Stegostoma tigrinum: one gene and its partner. The protein of the gene in region 1 interacts with the protein of each later gene in a pairwise test. Links are inferred from orthologs where the notes say so. Each region holds a gene or a part of one and is shown in the gene's direction. Other genes may lie near its edges.

Evidence for each region.
Region 2: the proteins of morn4 (region 1) and septin6 interact in binary tests that used the Homo sapiens proteins (3 or more experiments, as listed by UniProt). The two-hybrid records come from large-scale screens. The link is inferred for Stegostoma tigrinum from reciprocal best matches to the Homo sapiens genes MORN4 and SEPTIN6.

The regions. Positions count from the first base shown.
Region 1 is NC_081373.1:12,102,069-12,109,907, forward strand, and holds the start of morn4 (MORN repeat-containing protein 4), read left to right. Parts: upstream 1-4,751; 5' UTR 4,752-4,865; intron 4,866-7,839. UniProt on the Homo sapiens protein: Plays a role in promoting axonal degeneration following neuronal injury by toxic insult or trauma.
Region 2 is NC_081368.1:16,026,880-16,034,274, reverse strand, and holds the start of septin6 (septin-6), read left to right. Parts: upstream 1-4,332; 5' UTR 4,333-4,840; coding exon 4,841-4,927; intron 4,928-7,395. UniProt on the Homo sapiens protein: Filament-forming cytoskeletal GTPase. Required for normal organization of the actin cytoskeleton. Involved in cytokinesis. May play a role in HCV RNA replication.

The DNA.
Region 1 (7,839 bases):
TTTTCCTTGGGGTGGGTGAGTCCAAAACTGGACAGCATAGGTTTAAGGTGACAGGGGAAATATATAAAAGGGACCTAAAGGGCAACTTTTTCACACAGAGGTAGGTGCGTGTTTGGAATGAGCTGCCAGAGGAAGTGGTGGATGCCGGTACAATTACAACATTTAAAAGACATCTGGATGGGTGTAAGAATCGGAAGGGTTCATTGTATTACGATGGAACTCATTCCAACACAAAGACCTGGGATGTCTCAAAGTCTGAAACAACAGAATGTATTTTAGGCTAACATACCACCATATTCAAAAATAAGATAACAAGGTGTAGATCTGGATGAACACAGCAGGTCAGGCAGCATCAGAGGAGCAGGAAGGCTGATGTTTCAGATCTGGACCCTTCTTCAGAAAAAATGCGTTTGGACTTGTAACAAGTGAAATAGATGAGACGGCCATGTTTGTTATTTGCGTTTAAAAATAACAGCAGAAGCTGTTCTGAATAAGAATAAGCACCTGATAGACAAATAACTTTACAAACAAGGTAATGAACAGTTATATATTGAAAGTGAGAGAAGGACTATCTCCCAACCTGTTCTGATTTTAAGTTAATCTGAGATAAAATGAAGAACTGTAGATGCTGAAGATCTGAAACAAATTGCTGGAGAAACCCAAGAGGTGTGAAGACAAAGCAGAGTCAACATTTTGAGTCCAATGACCCTGCTTCAGAACTGGGTCAAAAGATACTGCCAGACCTGTGATTTTCTTCAGCAATTTCTGTTCCTGCTTCAAAATCATCTGAGATCTGGGCTCCTGACAATTCAATGCAAGAACCCATGCAGCTTGCTGAGAATCTCTGTTTTTACATGACCTTCACTCTAATTATCAGCTCATCTAACAAACATAAAAACTACATGTAAGCTGTGAAGTCTGAGAAGCCTGTTCGGACATAGAATCTCTACAGTGCGGAATCATGCCATCTGGCCCATCAATCCACATTGACCTTCCAAAGAGCAGCCCACCCAGACCCACCCCGTACCCGATCCCTGTAATCCTGCATTTTCCACGGCTAATCCATCTAGAAAGGTATGATGGCTAAACATTATTCGTCTGTCACAAGCAGTTGACTCCTTGACTACAGAAATATTCAGATGCCTCAGATCCTTGAATTGTGGCACTAATAACTGCAGCCCTGGTGTACTTCGATGTAGACAACACTGAGGATGAGCGCAGTATGCAGAGACTGTACTAGGGTCTGGCCTGCAAAACTATTTCACTCTTGCACCTCGTCATGAGTGAGAATAAAGAATCAGTGATGTTTCCACACATCTCAGTCATCTCTGTAGGGAAAGCCCTTTTGTCTTCATCAGGTTTTCAAGGGGGCATGCAGCCATTCAAAGCTGAGAGGTGTATAGTGTTCATTTCACATGTTCAATCTTCCTCATTATACCATGCACTTTCTTTGGCAGAAAAAAAAAATTTCTTCTCATAATTCAAAGTTGTCCTACAAGATGCTCAAGCACTTCAGGTCAACTTTTCAATCTGGATGTACGTTGAACATTGAAGGATTACTTGAGGACAGAAAGGTCAGAAGAAAATTTCTCAGAGTTCCTCCCATTATATAATGACAGAATTCACTGTGCAGATATGATATGCTGACTTAAGAGCCACCTAACTTTAGTGCCATGTGATGTTACTCTCTGTCTTTTCCCTAACAGTCAATACAACATGTAATGTGACTTGATACTTGAAAGTGGCTTCACCTGAAGAGAGCAAGTATACAATCAGAATGAAAATAAGACATTTAGCGAGCACAAGAAAAGCTCAAGGATTGCAACAGGATCCACACATCCTTTGCGTTAGGCAGGGGTTGTTTCCCAGATTAATGGGAATCATCAAACCCTGCTTATTCGTCCTGGGTTCACACACTCAGAGATGCACTGCTCTGTCTTGCTGACTGAGGTGGGTCTCCTTATAAATGTCCAGAACCACATCCTCATCTTCCTCTTCAAAAGATTGCTGTTGATCTCTTATTTCCTCTGCATCATGGACATTCCTGTGTTTTTCGGCTCCAGTATGCCACAATGACGCAAGACACCTTCAAGACTATACTGAAAAGCCAACAGACAGTCCAAGCAGCAAGATTGCATTTCAAGGAAACTACAGTCTGCTGCTGGTGAGATGTCAGCAGCACTGTCTGCATCAGTCTCAGGGTTGTGTAAAGGTGTCATGAGCCATGTTTGGAGGGGAAACCCTTGTCTCCCAACAATTATTGCCTGGTATGGAGGGAAGGTCTTACGAGGAAAGGCTGAGAGACTTGAGGCTGTTTTCATTAAGAAGGTTGAGAGGTGACTTAATTGAGACATATAAGATAATCAGAGGGTTAGATAGGGTGGATAGGGAGAGCCCTTTTCCTAGGATGGTGACGGCGAGCACGAGGGGGCATAGCTTTAAATTGAGGGGTGAAAGATATAGGACAGATGTCAGAGGTGGTTTCTTTACTCAGAGAGTAGTAAGGGTATGGAACGCTTTGCCTGCAACGGTAGTAGATTCACCAACTTTAGGTACATTTAAGTCGTCATTGGATAAGCATATGGACGTACATGGAATAGTGTAGTTTAGATGGGCTTGAGATTGGTATGACAGGTCAGCACAACATCGAGGGCCGAAGGGCCTGTAATGTGCTGTAATGTCCTATGTTCTGTGTTAATTACCACTGTAAGGTTAAAGGACATTCAAAGGAAGCAGAAACTTCTGAATTCTCTGTGCATTTGAGTCACAGCATTCCCAGAATATCTGGCTTGGACCTCCCAGATTCAGTGTTGATGGCGACGTATAATTTGAGCATTTAAAGAGTGGAAACCTTTTCTGTTGATGAACCTTGCCAGTTGGTGCGATTATGCTCTCAAAGCAAAGGGGCCATCTGGGGCAAGTCAGTGATGCTAAAGAATCCCACTACCCAGGGTGTTTGACTTTTCTAGTCATTGGGGAAGGACACAAACAACTGTGATCTGAAGAAAATAGCATCAGTTATATCCTGGATGTATCATGGATTGAGGATTGGAAGATACCACATTAATCCCCAGTTGCTTCTTGAAACGAGCTACTGGAATAAAAATTCAAGGCAGCTATGAACTTGCTGACAGGATTTGTGACAGGATTTCCACCAAGTCCTGTTCCAGCAGATGACACAGTTCAGTGATAATGATCCAGACAGTTGAAAAGAATGTAATAGGGTTGGCTCACCCATTTGCTTGAAGCACATGCAGTGTGTTTGCCGCATAGACTGTTGCCAAATGCTGGAGGTGTGTTGCTGACGTAGCTAACTGTCAAATGCTCCCTATTTTGACAAGCTTCTTGCCTCTGCCTCTGTGCTAAACAGCAATGAAGCCACAAAGTCTAGCAGCGCCTAAGTAAGCACAAAGTGAGTGAACACTAAAAAAGCAAGCAAAGAGCCTTAAGATGCATTGAGTGCAGATGCGTGTGTTTCCAGGTGCACAAAGCGGTCTGGCAGAAGCACAGAAGTTGTAGTTTTGCCTTAGCTCCAAAGGCAAGTGTTGATGTAATAAGAGAGTTGTTCCGTAAGCAGCCATGAATAGGTGGTGTGGCTGGTGTTCTTGTTTACATGAAAATATATTCTTTATTCATAAATTATTTATAAGTAAATTACAAAACAGTTCAAGCCAATATTACAGAAAATACAATGAAAATATCACATTTCTCAGTCAAGAACTTTGCACTCTTCGTTGTCTCAAAACAACTAAAAATTGGAAAACATTTATCAAATATGACCAGAAACTATGTACATTTCAATACAAGATATGAGGGTTTCTAGAAGCTAATAGACACTTGTACATGGAATGGCTGTTTCTTTTTCATTTCAGAACTATACTTTGTTCATTAAAAATTTTTTGCATAAATACAATTCGGTTCTGTACAGTAGCATATCAAGGGAACAAACAAACATTGGAGTTTGACTATGCAAACCACCCAAGACCTCGGTAACATACATAATACTACATTTACATGCATTTAGGCACCAGAAGGGTCTGATAACTGAACAGACTCCCACTTAACTTCAGCTGGAAGATATGGAGTGGCTGGTGGGTTAGTGATGTCAACTTGTATGGGCAAAGGGGCTGAGGATGATGGTGGTCATGGAGCATGCAGGGATGTTCTGCTGCATACGCAACTGAATAATGGAAGCAAGCAGTGAAGTGGCTTGTTTCATTTTAAATTACTGAGACTGGGCAGATCTGTGTACACAAAGCCAAAAAGGCTGTTAAAACTCAGCAGGTCTGGCAGTAGTTGAAAAAATGTGTGGCTGGAGGAGCACTGCAGGTCAGACAAGCAGCATCTAGGGATACAGAAACAGAGCTAACGCTTCGAGCTCAATCACCCTCCATCAGGAAACAACTCAAGAACTTTGCTTGAGCAATCAAAATAATCATTCACAAAAAAAACTCACAGGGCCACTCCATATGCCCCGCTCAGACATGGACGCCTTCAGATAATTGCATCGTTTTAAGAACAAAACCGAATTGTAGGCATCACCGTTTCGCCAGCGTATTGTACAAATTAAAATAACTTAAAATCTGCATAAATCCCCGGCTCTGTGCACCGATAAATGACATATTTACAATACATAAATGCTGCTTCTGCCCCTCACAGAGATGGCAGCCAGCCGCCTCAAGGCCGTTGCCAAGGGTAACGGAGCCAGTGGTGGGGAGGACACCAATGAAGGAGCGCGTTGTTGAGGGGTGTGGGGTCTGTGTCAGGAGGACATGTCTGACTCAGGCAGGGCCTGGGAGCTGAATATTCATCAATTTAAACCTGGCTCCCTGTTGCATGATCCACAGGCTGTTTAGCACTACAGGGTGAGTAGGCACTTTTTTTAAAAAAAGCTTTAAAAGAGTCCATTTTCAGCATCAGTGTTTCTTTTTGTTATTCTTTTCTGTCCCCCCCCCCCCCCCCCGAATTTGAATTCTCAGCTGGTAGGCCATTCAGATTTTTTCCTCCTGTACGTTATTGCTAAGTCCAAATTTATACTTGATTCACTTATTTCTACATCTGTGTTTTTAGTTTAAAAATAAGGACACTAGGCGTTTGCTGTTTGAGGGGATGTAAGTTGCCCATTTTTGATGAGCGAGATTGGATAATGAATGTTTGTTAGATATTTGGCTATGTAGGGCAGTGTATTATAAGCCTGATCATGTTCCTGACCAGACGTGTGCGTTCAAGTATTGACTTTCCAGAACAACCAATGAAAAGAAGTGATTTCTGCCTTCCCCCTTCTCCCACCTATTTTAATTCAGTGATGCTGAGGTCAGTTTCTCCCTAATCTCAGACCAGGGATGGAGGATGGCATCTTCCTTCTGTGCATATTCTGAGGTACCAATTGAGAGCCGGTGTATAGTTCTTTTCACTTCTGAGGTAAGTTTTTGGGTGCAATGCCAAATCTAGAGATCTGCGTATATAATATGAAAGATTATGTTACCAATGCCATACAGAGGGAGTGTTGTGATATTAGAGGTAACACCTTTCACATGTGACATTGAGAAGTAGAGCCAAGATGTCCTCAGCGGGTGTAAAAGATCCCATTCCACCAATTTACTCGAGCAGGGGAGTGTTCCCTGGTGCGCTGAGTCAATATTTATCCCTTCACCAACACCTAAAGCAAATGATCTAGATATTATCACTTTGTTTGTAAGAGCTTGCAGTGTGCTTTTGGCTGCCATGATTCACAACAATGACTACACTTCTAAATGGTATCACGTTGGCTGTGAAGCATTTAGTTATTCTGAAAGATGCCATAGCATCACAAGTTATTTTTCTAGTTGCTATGTGTAGTGGAATTGCATAAAGTTTGTTGACTGTTGTATTTAGTGATAAGAATGATTTGTTTTACCCACCCTTCCACCTCACGTTGTGTTGGCTGGTGAGTCTATAGATCTTCCAACGTTTGCTTTTAAAAGCTGTGTTGCAAAACAAAAGTCTTTGACATCCAGTCACCACAGTAGATGTTCCTTGTGATAGTATAGCCTAAGACTCTGAACAGTGCTGCATCATTGGCAGAGTTCTTTAGTTCAGTTTGCTTATCCTGGGAGCCAGAAAGAAAGACTTGCATTTATGCAGCACTTTTCACCACCCTGAAGGTACTGAAAGTACTTTGCAGCCAAGAAAGTACTTTTTGAACTTTGTGATGTAGAATTGTGATTGAAGAGTGTCTTCACGATCATTCAGCACTGAATTGTCTTTTGAGATACTTACGTTTTTAAAATTCATTCAGAATGTCAGAATTGCTGGCAAGGCCAACATTAATTGTTTATTTCCTTAAGTTATCTTCTCAAATGTAAATTAACAGCCATATATGCTGCCAGACCTGGGGTTATCCAGCACTTTATGTTTGTACTTGTATAGTGCTTTTGACATAACAAGGCATTCCAAAGAATTTCACAGCATTTTTAGAACAAAATATTCTGAGCCACATGAGAAAATATTTCCCAGAGAGAGAAATTTTAGGACATTTCTTAACATGTTATATACAGAAGGAGACAAATCAGGTGGCAAGTTAAAGAGGTTTAAGGAGGGAAATCCAAAACCTGGAGTCTTGGAAACTGGAAGGTGTGATCATCAACCATCTAGTGATTTTAAAGTTAGGGATACTTGTGGCCGAATTTGAGGAGCATAGATATTTTGGAAATAAATAGGCCACACCAGGTAAAGGCAGCTGGTTTCCTTCCTTAAAGGACATTAGGGAACCTCTTTTATTTTTTAACAACAGTCCCATAGTTTCCTGATCATCACAACTGAGATAATCTTGTTATTCCAGAATTTGAATGAATTCAATTCTGATTTGCAGTGATGGGATTTGAACTTGTGTCTCTGGATTAGTAGTCTGGGATTCTGTTAAGTTGTTCCCTGAACAGATTGAAGCATTCTGCCAAATGACTGACATGGCTAGAACTTTCTGACAAGCACCAAGATATCACCTGGCCACTGAGAAGGGCACTGCCTGTGAGATCCTTCATGTATGCCCAGACTCTGCACCACCACACGCTGCCCTCAAACTGGCTGCCGGGTGTTGGGTTGGGGGTAGAGACTGTCAGATATCTCCTTCTGGAACATGTTTTTACAAAGGAAATCTGGAGAAACATGCAGTAGTTTTTGTCAAGGTTCATCCTGAGCAGCTCTATGATGAAGGACTCTGTGTTCTACAGTCTGCTCCCTGGGACGCACAGAGATAAACAACGATTGCACCTGGAAGACTATCGATTTGGTGAAAGATGCTCTTTCATCTGCTTGAGACTTGCTAGCCCTTCCAGAGCAAGGAGTTGACCCTGAGCGAGTGTTGCAGACTATACGTTCCAAGGTCTCCGACTGTGTGCTGATGGATGCACAAAAGCTTTGGGCAGCTACCGCCAATGTGCCATGGGGAATCACCATTGTCTAAAGGATTTCTGTTAAAGTTAAGTGGGGGTCCATATGGTTGTAGGACCCTCCAGATGCCTCAAGTATATATAAATATAGTCTTGTACAAGTATGACGTGCCTTTGGGTTGTTTGTTGGATAGAGTCAAACTCCAATGTTTGTTTGTTTCTTCATGTGAACCAAACTGCTTCAGTGATTATGTATGTGCATAACAATATTTTTTGAATAAAGTATATTATTGAAACAAAAAGTGTCTGGGTTTCAGTGGGTTACCATTCCTTTAAGTATTTTGTGTGCTTCCTTCCTGGCCACTAGAACCAGATCTTTGAGTTACTTATCCAAATAAGGAGAAATTTCTTCACCCAGAGAGCAGTGATCCTCTCTTCCGCAGAAAGCAGTTGAGGCCAAAACATTGAATGT
Region 2 (7,395 bases), on another chromosome or scaffold:
CTATCCATGTCCTTCATGACTTTATAATTGTCTATAGGGTCACGCCTCAACCGCTGATACTCCAGGGAAAATAGCCCCAATCTATTCAGCTTCTCGCTACAGCTCAAACCCTCCAACTCTGGCAACATCCTCGAAAATCTTTTCTGCACCCTTTCAAGCTTGACAACATGTTTCTTATAGCAGGGTGACCCCAGAATTGAATACAGTAGACCAAAAGTGCCCTAACTAATGTCCGATACAAATGCAACATAACATGCACTGACTAATAAAGGCAAGTCTACAAAATGCTTTCTTCACACCCTTGTCTACCTGCAACTCCACTTTCAAGGAACTTGCACTTCAAGGTCTCTTTGTTCAGCAACACCCCCCAGGACCTTATCATTAAGTGTATTAGTCCTGCCCTGATTTACCTTTCCAAAATGCAGCACCTGACATTTACCTAAATTAAGCTCCATCTGCCATTCCTCAGCCCTTGTCCCATCTGATCAATGTCCCATTGTAATTTGATGTAACCTTCTTCTTTATCTACCAATGTTGGTGTCATCTGCAAATTTACTAACCATATCTCCTTTATATCATTTACATAAATGACAAAAAGTTGGGTACCCAGTTCTGATCCTTGCAGCACACCAGTGGTCACAGGCCTCCAGTCCAAAAAACTCTTCACCTCTACCCTTTGTCTCTTAACTTCAAGCCAATTTTGTTTTCAGATAGCTAGCTCTCCCTGGATTCTATGTAATCTGACATTGCTAATTAGTCTACCCTGCGAAACCTTGACGTCTATATCGACAATGTTCACTGCTATGGCTTCATCAATCTTCTTTGTGAGGTGTTGCATATTGCTAAGGCAAACCAGGTTATAGACTTAATGATAGGGTCCTGGCTGGTGTTGCTGAACAAAGAGACTTTGGTTTGCATGTCATGGATCCTTGAAGTCAGCAGGACAGATTAAGAATGATCATTAGAAGGCATATGGGATTCTTGCCTTCATTGGTCAAGGCATTGAATACAAGAGCATGTAGGCTATGATGGGGTTGTATATAATATTAATTAGGCCACAGCTGGTGTACTGTGTACAGCTCTGGGTGTCAAACCATCAGAGGGATGTAATTGCACTAGAAAAGGTGCAGAAGAACAAGAGGATGTTGCCTGGACAGGAACATGTAAAGTGACTAGATAACTGCATGGATTGTTTAATGTAGGGAATATAGGGGAAATATTTCTCCCTCCATAGAAGGGTCAATAACCAGGGAGCACAGTTTTAAGTTAAGGGGCATGAGGTTAGAGGGGATTTTAGGTTTTTCCACCCAAACGTAGTAGTTGTTTCATGTTGTTTGCCTGAAAAGTGCTAGAGGTGGGAAGCTTTAAGATATTTAAGAGCTATTTAGATGAACACTTGAAATGCCATATCTTACTAGATTATGGGTCAAGTGCTGACAAATGGAATTATTGTAGATGATTGTTTGATGACCAGCATAAATCAACATGGGCTGAAAGTCTTCCTTCCGTGCTGTGAAAACTCTATGACATTTAATTGAAATCAATGCCATAAATTTAAAACCTTTAACCTTTTTTTTTCACTGCCAACTTTCTCCCCACTTTCTGAAAGGATTATTTTCATTTGCTACCATACAGGTGCCAGCCCTGGACTTCATCATGGTATTTGTCAATGAAAGGCAGCATAATTGTTATTACCTTACCCAATATTTGTAGACACTTTATAGCACAGACTATGTTATGAAATGACTTCAAATACTCAAAGATCAAATAAATGATCCCATGTCCATCTATTTGGAATAGCAGAGAATAATTGATGAGGCAAACATTGGTGATCTTAGAACTTGAAAGTAAATTACACAGTCAATTGATATCGGTTAGTTCTAGTTCTGGGTATTGGTGTATATAAAGCAAATTGTATTGAGTGGGAACACTGAAACTAATTAGAAATTAGGCAACAGTTATATTGAAACTATCTGCCCCACACTCACTCTTAACCTGGTACACAGTCAATAAACCCTATTTATTTTGTACAGATAAGTTGCTGTGAGGTCAGGCACAAATTGCTTGCCTTCATTTGGTCTCCAATTCCTTAATGGCATTTCCACAATAATCCAAGCCTGAAGCTGCTGTATCACAATATAACAGCAGCAATTTGGTTGAACTGTTACATCCCCCAGCAGCTACATTTTCTCATTGTTGCTGAAGATGCTGACTTAGAATGGAATAGTATAGCCTTTATTGTCACAAGCATTTGGATGAATGCAGTGAAAAATTTGTAATGTTGTCACTCTGGTGCCATCTTAGGTACAGACTCTTAAGTGTTTGTTACAGAATTGAAAGAGTTTTTAAAAAAGTCTAGCATAGGAATACGAAGTATAAAAAGTACTCAAATTACTCAAAGTCCGGAATAAGAATGAAATTATCTTTAAAATGTGCTCAAATTACAGTCCTTTTCACTGAGTCTGTGCATGCTGTGCTTCAGAGTATGAAGCCTTGCTGCCTTTTGCATTGGCCTCCTGCCCAGAACCCGCCATCAGGACATATGCTGATGTATGGCTGTGGTAGTGCTAGTTGGTAGCGCTCTCAGTGAGAGTCATAAGGGTGTGGGCTCAAATCCCACTCCAGGATTGGAGCTTAAACTTCAAGGCTCCAAAGGAATACTGCATTACGAGAGGTGCCATCATTCAGATGAGATGTTAATCCTATCTATCCTTTCAGCTGGATATAAAAGATCAAACTGTACTGTTTGAGGAAGTGCCAGTGGAGTTATCCCTTGTGCCCATATTCATCTGTTCATCAGTATCAGAATAAAAATCTGGTCCTTTATCACAGTGCTGTTTAAGGGAGCTTTTTGTGTGCACATTAGCTGCTGTCTTTCCTACAATACAATGATGACATCACCAGAAAGTATGAACGCAGCAGGCAAGCTAAGGTCCCGGGCCTAGACCCTGCTTCAGAAAGATTTCTGAAGCAGGGTCTAGGCCCGAAATGTCAGCTTTCCTGCTCCTCTGATGCTGCTTGGCTTGCTGTGTTCATCCAGCTCTACACCTTGTTATTTCAAATGCTTTGCGATATGCAGTGGTGGTGAAACAACCTGGATAGGATTGTCTACATGCTACATAATTGCCTAGTCCCTGGTTCCTCCATTCACTACAATATTTCTGCTGTCACCTGAATAGCTAAACTTCACCCTCACCTCCATACTTAATGCCCAATAAAACCAGTGCTCGCTCTCAAACTGGCACTTCTGTGTTTCATATGGCCCTAATCTCCATTCCTCAAGCCCATGGGGAAAAGCCTTATAAAGATATAGTGGAAAATTATTTAGCTACCCACTGCCAGATCTGTTAGACCACAGAAAGCAGTATCAAGTTCTGTTGTCATCTGCTAAATCTGCTCACTGTTTCAGGATAATCCCAGTGTGCAAGGTAAACTCTTGAGACTAAGACCATCTTATAACATGTCTCTGTTACAGCATTGCTTTCAATTGCCCAACTCATAGATTCATAGAATCATGGCTTATACAGAACGGAAACAGACCCTTGGGTCCAACTCATCTGTTGCGACCAGATATCCTAAACTATGTAGACTCACTTGCCAGAATTTAGTTGGCCAAACTTTCTCATTGTTCTGGTCTAGAACTCACATCTTCTTGAGTTTTTCTTCCAGCCCTCTGTAAGGTCACCTTTTTCATCAGATCCATCCCGTGTTCCTTCAATGCCATTCTTATCAAACTGGGGGTCACCATCATCCCCTCCTAGTCGCCTTGTCAAATAATATTGTGAATGCGTATCTCTTTTTGCTGTCTCTCTCAAATTCTGCCATTTTCCACTCAAAAAGTGCCCTTGATTCAACCAGCCTTGCAAACTGTTGTTCTATCTTCAATCACCCCTTCTTCTCTGGTAAGAAATTAAATTAAGATTGTTCATATTTAAATAAAAGAGACGCATTTCTATAAAAAGGTAATAAAATACGCGCCTTATTGTGTCCAGTGGAAGGGTGAATCACCCGGTGACATATTGGATTAGTCACTGCTTACAGTAGGAGGTAAATGAAGTCGCGTCTAAATCTTTAGCGTGCGTCAATTCACTTAGACATTAAAGATTAGGTATCTTTGAAGTTAAACGTAGGTGCTAGTCGCTGTATTGCCCTGTGCATATATCACCCACTGAGTTTTGTGGGAGGAGAAGACAACTGACTTTTTAAAAAAAACTTGTAACGCACTGAGGTAACAATGACGCCGCCTTTACGACAGCAAAAATACTGGCTTTTCCGCACCTGCTCTACATCAACAGCATAATTTGCACAGCAATTCTTAAAAAGAAACGCATTGTTAAGAAAAATGCGCCAAGCGAATCGCTTCCTCGCAAATTTTTTTCAATTTGAAATTTGCGACTTATAATGTATAAATACCGTAGTTTTTAGAAGTTTAAAGCATTGGGAAATAACCATTTTAAGGCACTTGAATAAGTGTTTAAATAAAGCTGCAAGTGGGGGTTGTTTATGAAGGAACTACACTCAATCTCTTTAAACCGAGAAAATAACATTTCGTCAAATCAGAGCAAAAAATGATACTTCACGCTTCCGCTATTCTTGCAACAATGTGTCTAACGGGGGACGCTATCATTCTCGAAACAGGGGATACTGTCGACAAGCTGGTAAAATTTTGACGATACTGGGGAAGGCAACTGGTGGCTAAAAAGCAAATCGGGATTGTAAGGTGTGTGGCGTGCTGACAGCGAGTAAACAAGCGAACAAACCGTGTTTGTGGTGGACAGAGTCAGGCTGTAGCTGCCCTCATTCCCCACCCCCCCCTTTGAGCGCAGTGGTAGCGGCCAACATGTATCCAGTGCCTGTGGCTGGGGTCCGCGAGCTTCTTGTCACCAGCGGATCGACAATGGCGGCGGCTGAAGTAGCTCGGCAAATGGTGAGTGAGTAACTGCACACCCTCCACCTTCACTCTCATTCACAAATTTTTATTGCTAAACGCAGGGCTTGTTTTTGTTCAGCTGTTTGCACAGCGAGGCTGCGTTCTGTATTTTCATTTCGCCCCCACGCTGCTGGTCAGCTATTGTTCACTGAGACAAGTGTGGATGGGCGGGTGGGCAGAAAGGGGAAAATAAGCTGGGCGTTGGCTTCGTGGTCTTAAAATTAAAATTGCATCTAATTTAACTGTTTAAAATCTAAGAAGGCGATAAGGGGGAAGACAGACACGATTTCCTCATGCCTCCCTCCCGCCATTTTCAGCTCAGGTAGCTTAGACCCATTGTGGGTGGAGGGAACCCTTTCTCACTGGCTTCTTTTTAAATGTGCCACCTGCATTTTCAACTTTGGTTTTTTTTAAATTTATGGCTTTCCGATGATCAAATAACAGCTGGCTTGTGAACATCTGATGGTAACCATGACATGCCTAGAGTCAGAATGGGACAGCATGCAGTTCACGTAATATAACGGTTCATGTAGTTGATATATTTTACCTAAATATTAAACGGACGCAGTCTGAGCCCTGTGTTGTATTATTTCGCAGTCAGGCTCAGTACATTAATTAAAACACAGTTTTGCACACTGCGTATGCAGTAAACTACATGAATGAGATTAAGTAAGAGCCGAGAGTGCGCTGCAGATTAGATAAAATGCGTGCTTCAGGACTGAGGAAGGGAAGGGAAGGGGAGGGGAGGTCAGGGCTGACCTTAAAGAGGCTTTTAAAATCATGAGGGACGTGGATGCGGTGAATGGCCAAGCTGTTTTCCCCTTGGATGAGGGTGCCCAAAACCAGAGGTTTAAGGTGAGAGGAGAAGATTTTAAAAAGGACCTGAGGGGTAACTTTTTCACGCAAAGGGTGGTGCGTGTATGGAACGAGCTGTCAGAGGAAGTGGTGGAGGCGGGTACAATTGCAACATTTAAAAGGCATCTGGATGGGGTGTATGAATATACTGTATATGCATAGGATTGGGTTTCAAGGGATGTGGGCCAAATGCTGGCAAGCGGGACTAGGTCAGATTGGGATGCCTGGTTGGTGCAGACAAGTTGAACCAAGGGGACTGTTTCTGTGCTCTGAGACTAACAAATAATGTGCACAAAGATATTGAGGCATTGTAGTTTAAAGCATCTTCTGAATTGTTAGATTGGAAGGGTAGTTATAATATAGTAAAGTCTAGCTTTTTATATCAATTAAAATAAACAGCTATGCTGTCAAAATTTTAAGATTTAACAGAATAATGCAAATTGAACTGGAGTGATTTATGCTGTTACTTCACAGCATGTTCTGGTAGAATGGTGAATCCTCTCAATAGGAGTTATAGTGTGTCATTCACTCTTGGCTTGCCATTCACATTCAATTTTTGTAAATTTGAGATTGCCCAAAACTTTGGCACCTTTGCCTTATGCCCATTGTATTAAGTCCCATTCACCCACTGTCCCAATGTGTTCACTGGTCCACATTGGTTTTTGGTTAAGTTGTATCTCATTGTCACTTTCAAATTTTTCCATGTTCTTCCCTTTCCTATCTCTCTATTCTGCTCTAGTTTTCACAACTAATCTTGCCTTTAATCAATACAACAAACCAGAGATGCTCGGGCCCTGCAGAAGTCAGTCCTTTGAATTACACAGCTTCAGGAAAGGACAATCGACATGAACCATTAACTCTGATTCTGTCCACAGATGCTTCCAGACCCGCTGAGTTTTTCCAGCAATTTCTATTTTTGTTTCTGATTTAAAGCATCCCACAGTTCTTTCAGTTTTCAATCCCTATTTTAATTACTCCTCTCTTGGTAACCTTGCCCTTTGTTACATGGGCCACATGTTCCAAAATTCTCTCCTGGTGCCTCTTTCCAACCTTGAGATATTACTTGAAATGTACCTTTTTAACCAAGGTTTTGGTTGTGTTCCTTAATATCTCTACGTGATATCACTCATGTCGTTTTGTAATGTTCCTGTTAAGCACCTTGGGCCATTTCATTATGTTAAAGACAATATAAATCCCAAGTCAATAGATGTGAAGCTGGAAAAGCACAGCAGGTCAGACAGCATCTGAGGAGCAGGAATGTCAGCGTTTCGTCAGAAACATTGACTTTCTTGCTTCTCCGATGCTGTCTGACCCGTGCTTTTCCAGCTTCTCATATATTGATTCTGGCTTCCAGCATCTGCAGTCCTTACTTGTCTCTAAGTCATAAATCCCAGGATGTGTTTTTTAAAGCTGATGGCTTTAAAATTAGTGGTAAATCACACAATAGCAGCAAATATATTTAAAAGCATTTGCATATTGCTCTGCTGTCTAATTCAATCATTCTGTAATGGATCTCACCCACTTGAACCTCTAGTGCCATCAACTTTGCTGCTTGTTAATAACTCAAAGCCTAAGCCAGAGTTGAACCAAGTGTGGAGCTGGATGAACAC